Coturnix japonica: one gene and its partner. The protein of the gene in region 1 interacts with the protein of each later gene in a pairwise test. Links are inferred from orthologs where the notes say so. Each region holds a gene or a part of one and is shown on either strand. Other genes may lie near its edges.

The links. The genes of interacting proteins can lie anywhere in the genome.
Region 2: the proteins of AMOTL2 (region 1) and RAD51D interact in binary tests that used the Homo sapiens proteins (3 or more experiments, as listed by UniProt). The two-hybrid records come from large-scale screens. The link is inferred for Coturnix japonica from reciprocal best matches to the Homo sapiens genes AMOTL2 and RAD51D.

What each region holds. Positions count from the first base shown.
Region 1 is NC_029524.1:3,381,917-3,384,135, reverse strand, and holds part of AMOTL2 (angiomotin-like protein 2), read right to left. Parts: intron 1,983-2,219; coding exon 1,838-1,982; intron 1,597-1,837; coding exon 1,504-1,596; intron 771-1,503; coding exon 475-770; intron 377-474; coding exon 84-376; intron 1-83. UniProt on the Homo sapiens protein: Regulates the translocation of phosphorylated SRC to peripheral cell-matrix adhesion sites. Required for proper architecture of actin filaments.
Region 2 is NC_029534.1:3,364,944-3,369,177, forward strand, and holds the start of RAD51D (DNA repair protein RAD51 homolog 4), read left to right. Parts: upstream 1-1,434; 5' UTR 1,435-1,557; intron 1,558-1,751; 5' UTR 1,752-1,770; coding exon 1,771-1,852; intron 1,853-1,975; coding exon 1,976-2,037; intron 2,038-2,181; coding exon 2,182-2,300; intron 2,301-2,943; coding exon 2,944-3,025; intron 3,026-3,124; coding exon 3,125-3,259; intron 3,260-3,550; coding exon 3,551-3,646; intron 3,647-3,771; coding exon 3,772-3,862; intron 3,863-4,110; coding exon 4,111-4,181; intron 4,182-4,234. Other genes in the region: UNC45B (protein unc-45 homolog B), read right to left, coding at 228-389. UniProt on the Homo sapiens protein: Involved in the homologous recombination repair (HRR) pathway of double-stranded DNA breaks arising during DNA replication or induced by DNA-damaging agents. Bind to single-stranded DNA (ssDNA) and has DNA-dependent ATPase activity.

The sequences.
Region 1 (2,219 bases):
AGCCATAAACTTCAATGGAGTCACTCGGACCACTGAGGATGCTCGCAGCACCCAACAAGTGGCTCACAGGGAAGGTGGGGTACCTGCTCTCCATCTCCTGGTGCTTGTGGTTGGCCAGCAGGAGGTCCTCGTTGAAGCTGCTGTTGGGTGAGTGCCGTGGTGAGTGGCTGATGAGGGTGGTGTCCCGCTGGGCAGCAGCAGTGGCGGCAGCATCCATGGCAAACTGCCTCATGGTGCATTCCTCCAGGTACTTCTGCTCCCACTTGGTCATGTCAGCTTCCAGGGCCAAGATCTTCTCCTCCTTCTCCCTCAGCTGCTCAGACAGTCTATGGGCACTCAGCTCGGGCGTCCCTCCACCTGTGGTTCCCACTTGCCTCTGCAGCAGCCAAGAAATGACCCAGAGAGAAGGTGAGGAGATGCTGGGATGCAGATCACTGGCCCCTCCCACCTCACAGTCCCCAGGATGTCCTTTACCTGCTGAGCCCGCAGCATCTTCAGCTCCTGCTCCAGCCGGGTGCGCAGCCGCAGCTCCAGCTGCTCCCGCTTCTCACAGGCAGCCTGGAGCTGACCCAGGGCTGCCTGCAGCCGCTCCACCTTCTCCACATACGCCCGCTTCTTCCGCAGCTCGGCCTCTGCCTTGGCTGCCCGTGCCTGGGCACTGCCCAGCGCCTGTTCCAGCAGCTCTGCCCGCCGGCGCTGGTCCTCGTTGGCGCTGCGCAGCAGCGAGGCTTCCCGCTCCAGCTTCTCCTTCTCCTGTTGGTGCTCATAGCCTGCAAAAGAACATCTGTCTAAGACTCGGAGACACAGTGCAGGGGGGTTAAAAGGCCCACGGAGCCCCCCGGCCAAAAAAAGAGGCTGTGCCCACAGGTCTCCACTCAGCTGTGTGGTGTCAGCAGCCCTCAGCCAGCACATGAGGTGCACTGGGGCCAAGGGCAACCCTGCAGCACACATTTCAGAGCATGGCCGTGCCCTGATGGACATGACACCACCATGGACACTTGCTGCCATAGAAAGCCTCATTTTGGCAAATTCCAGCCAAAAATGTGGCCTGAGATGAGAAAATCCATCCTAGGTTACACCTAGCTGTTGATGTAAGGACTGTGACACGATTCCTCCCCCACGATACCAACGCCAGCTCTCTGATGAAATAGCATTTAGGAAAAATAAAGAGCTATGGATCTTGCCGTATTTCTCCCCCAAGAAAAGAAATTCCAGCTTGCACAGGAGAGAAGCACGGAAGGGCTGGGCAAGCACAGCGAGGGAGTGCGGACTTTGTGCTGGAAGAGCCTGCACACGGCAGCAGGAATGTGGAGAATGCAGGTCACCCCGCCGGCCGGCCGGGATTAATGGCTTGCATCCAGCGCCCGGAGCAGCACAGCCATCCCTGGGGAAGGGCAAAAAGCTCCTCTCTACCCCCCCCCCACCTCTTCATCCAACATAAAGGCTTCTGCACTGAGTCCCTGCTGTGGCAAATCAGGCAAAGCCGAACCCCTGGGGACTTACTCTGCGCTAGGAGCTTTGCCACCGTGCCCTGGTTGCTCTCCTGGTTCTCCTGGGTCTTGCTGGCCAGCTGCTTGTTGGCCGATTCCAAGCGTTCTGGTGCAAAAACACAAATAAAAGAAATGAGATTTAAAAAGGCTGTTTTGGACAGATGAATCCGCCTACCCCCTCCCACCTGTGAAAACACTCCGACTAATAAAACTGCTAAAAAGAAGAATACTGGGGAAAGGCTGATGGACAGAGAGGGCCTGCAGGAATAGGGGAGAGGAAGGGTCTGGAACTGGGAACTGGGGCACGGGAGCCACCCAATGGAGCTGTGGACCACAGCTACTCTCACCTTTCAGGTCTCGGTTGAAGTCCTGCAGCCGCCGCATCTCCCCATCTCTTTTGGCCCTCATGGCTTTCTCCAGTGCCTCCCTCTTGGAGGATGCCTTCATGAGGTTTTCGTAATCCTCTGAGATGCGCTGGATCTCCGTTTCCAGCTGGAGAGGAGGAAGTGATGGGCGGGGGTGAGATATTCGTGGAATGAGGAAAAGAAAGGCAGATGCTGGTGAAACACTGCCCAGGCTCAGGACCCGTCCTGCACTGCCAACAGGGCTCCGCAAACCCACAGAGGATGGGCAGGAGCCGCAGAGTGAGAAACCCCCACAACAACACAGGTCTGGGGGCAAAAACCCTTTTTCTTTTGCTTTCAGCCCTGTGGGCACAGAGGGAGCTCT
Region 2 (4,234 bases), on another chromosome or scaffold:
GTTCCCATTAATAGGGCACCCTGGTGAAAGCTGTAGAAGCCTATGGAGGGCAAGAAAGGAGCTTTGGGTACCATCTCATTGGTAAAGGAAGGAAACAAGGAGAAGTCTGGTATGGGTCAGACAACAGGCAGCAATGGAAAAGCCTGCAGCTCTTTGGGGTTGGGACCACTGCTGAGCCAAACCAGCATGCTCAGCCCTATGGGGACAGAACCCAGAGCTCTCCTCACCTTTTTCAGGTAGCACGCAGCCCGGTTGCGGTACAGCACAGCCTGCAGTGCCCTGTCCTTGTTGAGCTTCATGGCCTGTGTGTAGCTCTGAGCTGCTCTCTCATAGTCGCTGGCTTGAAAATATTTGTTGCCTTCCTCCTTCAGCTGGATGGGATCCTCCATCTGGGGAGCAGAGGGGAGAAAAAAAACAACAACACACATTTTAGGCTGCTGGGGAGTTTTAAGGAAAAACATGAAATTTGTGCCCCTTCTGTTTTGGTCTGCCTGCCGAATAACCCTGAACAAAAGCACCTTACCAGGTTGAAGTGCTCAGCCAAACTGCTCCTCAAGGCTGTGGCTTCTCAGCTGTAAACCCACACAGCTACAGATCCGTAGTGACCAATGAATAGAGGTAAAATAACAGAAAAGAGCTCAGAGAGTCCAGACGGCTCAGGGAAGAGCTCACCTCCCACTCCAAGTTTGGGCAAGAGCTGGCAGCTCCTGCTGCGTGTCACTGTCACCTGTCAGCACTGCCTGTACCCTGTGCTATATGGGGCTGGGGGCCACCGCCACCCAGTGTGGGGGGAGACACTGTGTAAAGGCACACAGCTCTGGGCACAAAGAGGGGATGCTGCTCTCCCACTCACTGCATGGATCGCTGTTATCCATGACCTGCAGAGCTGCATGGGGAATGGAGTGGGAATGGGAGGGCTGTGTGCCATACACAAATCAGTTCACATGGTTGACCCCCGTCCTAGTGCTCAGAGCCTTGTCCCTTTCTATTTAGGGAGGCATGAGACAGCTGCACAGGGACAAGTGGCTCTGTCTGACAGCTGCCAGCACCTTCCAGAACAGCCGTGGAGGGAAAGCACCAGAACCTCCTTTCCTGCATTGCTTCAGCTTAGGTTTAGTGGGTTGTTAGAGTTAGAGTAGTGTGGTCAGGTTGTGGTTGGACTATATGACCTTGAAGGTCTTTCCCACCCTGAGCTATGCTATAGATCTGTGATTACTGAAGAACATCTACTGTACCGTACAGTACCCTATCCCATCCTACACCTTTAATTCCAACATTTATAGACGCTGGAGCATTGCTGACAACTGCACTGATGGCCATTTAGACCAGGCTGGTGCATAGCATCCCCTACAGACACAGACCAGCTCCCAGCTGTGATTTCCTTCCTATCCAGAAGCAGTGTCACGTTTTTTGGAGGCATCCTTAGGGGTGAGCAGACCGCTAGGGGGGGTGCGGAGCCCGGCAGCCCTTCCGCAGCCCGCAGGAAGCAGGAAGGGGGTTGCTATGGGATGAGGTTCGGTACCGGTGGCACTTTGGGGACCCTTCGGCCACCCGTAGGTGCGGGATACGCGTGGGGCTGCTGGGGAGGGCTCGCTCCGTGGGCACAGTGATGGTTACGTGTGTGCTTTGGGTGGCACTAAAGGCATGGTTGGATGGGGGTGCTGCGGGATGTATGTCCCCACGGTACACCGTGGTACCCCGTGGGTGCCCATCCCATCTCCCAACAGGTCTCTCTGCTTCCATCCCTGCAGCTCCCTGTCCCACGGTGCCATGGTGGTCCTGCGGGCCGGGCTGTGCCCTGGTCTCACTGAAGAGATGATCCAAGTTCTCAAGGCAAACAACATCAGGACGGGTAACTTGGTGGGGGATGTTGGCTCCTGCCCCTTTGGGGTATCACTGCACATTCCAGCCGTGTATTCCCCATCTGCTGTGCTTGTGGTCAGCATCCAGCTTCTTGTTTCTGTGTCATTCATAGTGGTGGACTTTGTGTCATCGGACCTAGAGGACGTTGCCCAGAACTGTTCCCTGTCTTACAAGGTACTGGGTTATCCCTGAATCCTCCCTAAACCGGGCACTCACAGCTGCTCAGCTCCCTGCTTGGATGGGCTTTGCTGGGGGCCCTTCTGCAGGGCACATTGGTGGCCGTGGGTTTTCTTAGTCCCTCTATAAACTGTCCAACAGGCGCTGGTGGCTGTGCGCAGGGTGCTGCTGGCCCAGTTCTCAGCTTTCCCCACCAACGGAGCAGATCTCTACGAGGAGCTCAAGAGCTCCACTGCCATCCTGCCGACCGGCAACCCCAGGTGGGTGCCCAGTGAGCTGTAACATGGTGATGCTCCCAGTGCACTCAGCGTTGTCCCATTTGTCTCCAGCTCTTGTCACCAACCCCAGCCTGGCTGTGCCCATTGAGAGCAGAGGTGACTTTTCATGTCATGTGGCTGTAAAGTCAGCTGGTCTCTGTCCCTTGAGGGGTGACACCGCTGTTGTTGTCCTTGCAAGAGCCTGCACATGTCTTAGAACTGACTGTATGTCTCAGTTCTAGACTAGAGAATGTGCTGCCCTCAGTCTTTCCCTTGTAAAGAAGATTATGGATCTGGGAAGGTTTGGAGTGATGAGTTCCCAAGGCTGGGCAAGGAGATCAGTTGCCCTTTGTTGCCCAGGCTTATTTCTCTTCCCTCAGTCTCCTTGTTGGCTTGTTACAGTGGGGTTGCAGAGAAACCCCAGATATTCAAACCTGGCTCCCGGGCTCTTTCCCATCTCAGCATAGTGCTCTTATACTGCAGAGCTGCTGCAGCCCATGGTGTAGAGAGAGTTAGGGTAGGAGGGTGGGAGCAGAGCCCAAGGCTTCTGCCTTTGGGAAGTGGATGGTAAGGGCTGGTATGTGGGAGCACTGTCCCCTTTCCATGCGATGCACATTGAGCATCCTGCCTTGTGCTCACCCAACAGCTTGGACCAGCTGCTGGATGCAGGGCTGTACACCGGGGAGGTGACGGAGCTGGCAGGAGCACCAGGCAGTGGGAAGACACAGGTGAGTGGAGCAGGGGGTGACCTGGCCTGGGGCTGGGGACACCAAGGGCTCTTACTGTGCCACGAGTGGGCAGCTGATGCCTGATCCATGCTGCTCCAGGTGTGCCTCAGCATCACGGCCAGCGTGTCCCTTGGCCTCAGGCAGCACGTCTTCTTCCTTGACTCCACGGGGGGGTTCACTGCCTCCCGCCTCTACCAGATGCTCCAGGCCCGGGTGGAGGACAAGGAAGAGCAGGTGAGTTCTGTGTTTTTCCTGCTCGTGTGGGCATCAGCCCACCTATGTCCTCATGGGCTGTGCTGGGTCCATTCCTACTGAGACTGGGTGCTAATGAGAATGGGGGAGTCTGGTGTGGTCCCTCACCCACTGATCCTGTGCTGCTGCCACAGCTGGGGGACAGTGGTGTTCATGGGGTGGGGGTAGATGCAGGAGAAATGAAGGTCCCTGGCTCCATAGTGTGGGCAGGAGGGATGTGGGCGTGCAGTGCATGCAGTGCACATCACAGGGTGACACTGCTCTGTGTCACAGCTTGAGGCCCTGCAGCGGGTGCAGGTGGTCCGTGTGTTCGACATCTACGAGATGCTGCGTGCCCTGCATGAGGTGCGGGACTGCCTATCCCAGCAGGTAAGGCCTCCAAGTCCTTCTCCTTGATGAGCATCACCCCATCCCAGGGATATCCAAACCTCAGTGCAGCTTTAACACCTCCAAAAAACATTGCTCATTATTGCATGGTTGATTTTGTTCTGCAGGTGGAGAGCTCGGCTGGGCCGCTCAAGGCAGTGCTCATTGATTCAGTGTCAGCCGTGCTGTCCCCGCTGCCGGGCGGCCGGCAGTCGGAGGGTGAGCCCTGAGCTGCTCTGTGGGGTGGGGGGTTGATGGCAATGTGGTGGAATTGGTGTGAAGGTGCTTATGAGCACCGTATCTAAGGCTCACACAAGTCCAGCGTCACCAATGGGTTGGTGGGGGTGGGTCAATGGTTGGACTTCATATTCTTAGAGGTGTGCTGACATGAGTGATTCTGTGTTTGTACCTCTGGGGGCTGCTCCCTCTGTTTGTGTTGAGCCCCCCAATGCCTGCTCTGCCTCCAGGCTTGGCCATCATGATGCAGCTTGCACGGGAGCTGAAGACGTTGGCCAAGGAGTTCAGCGTGGCAGTGGTGGTGAGTGCTGCTGTCTGTGGGCCTTCCTGACGTGGTTTAGGGGCCCCTGGTGC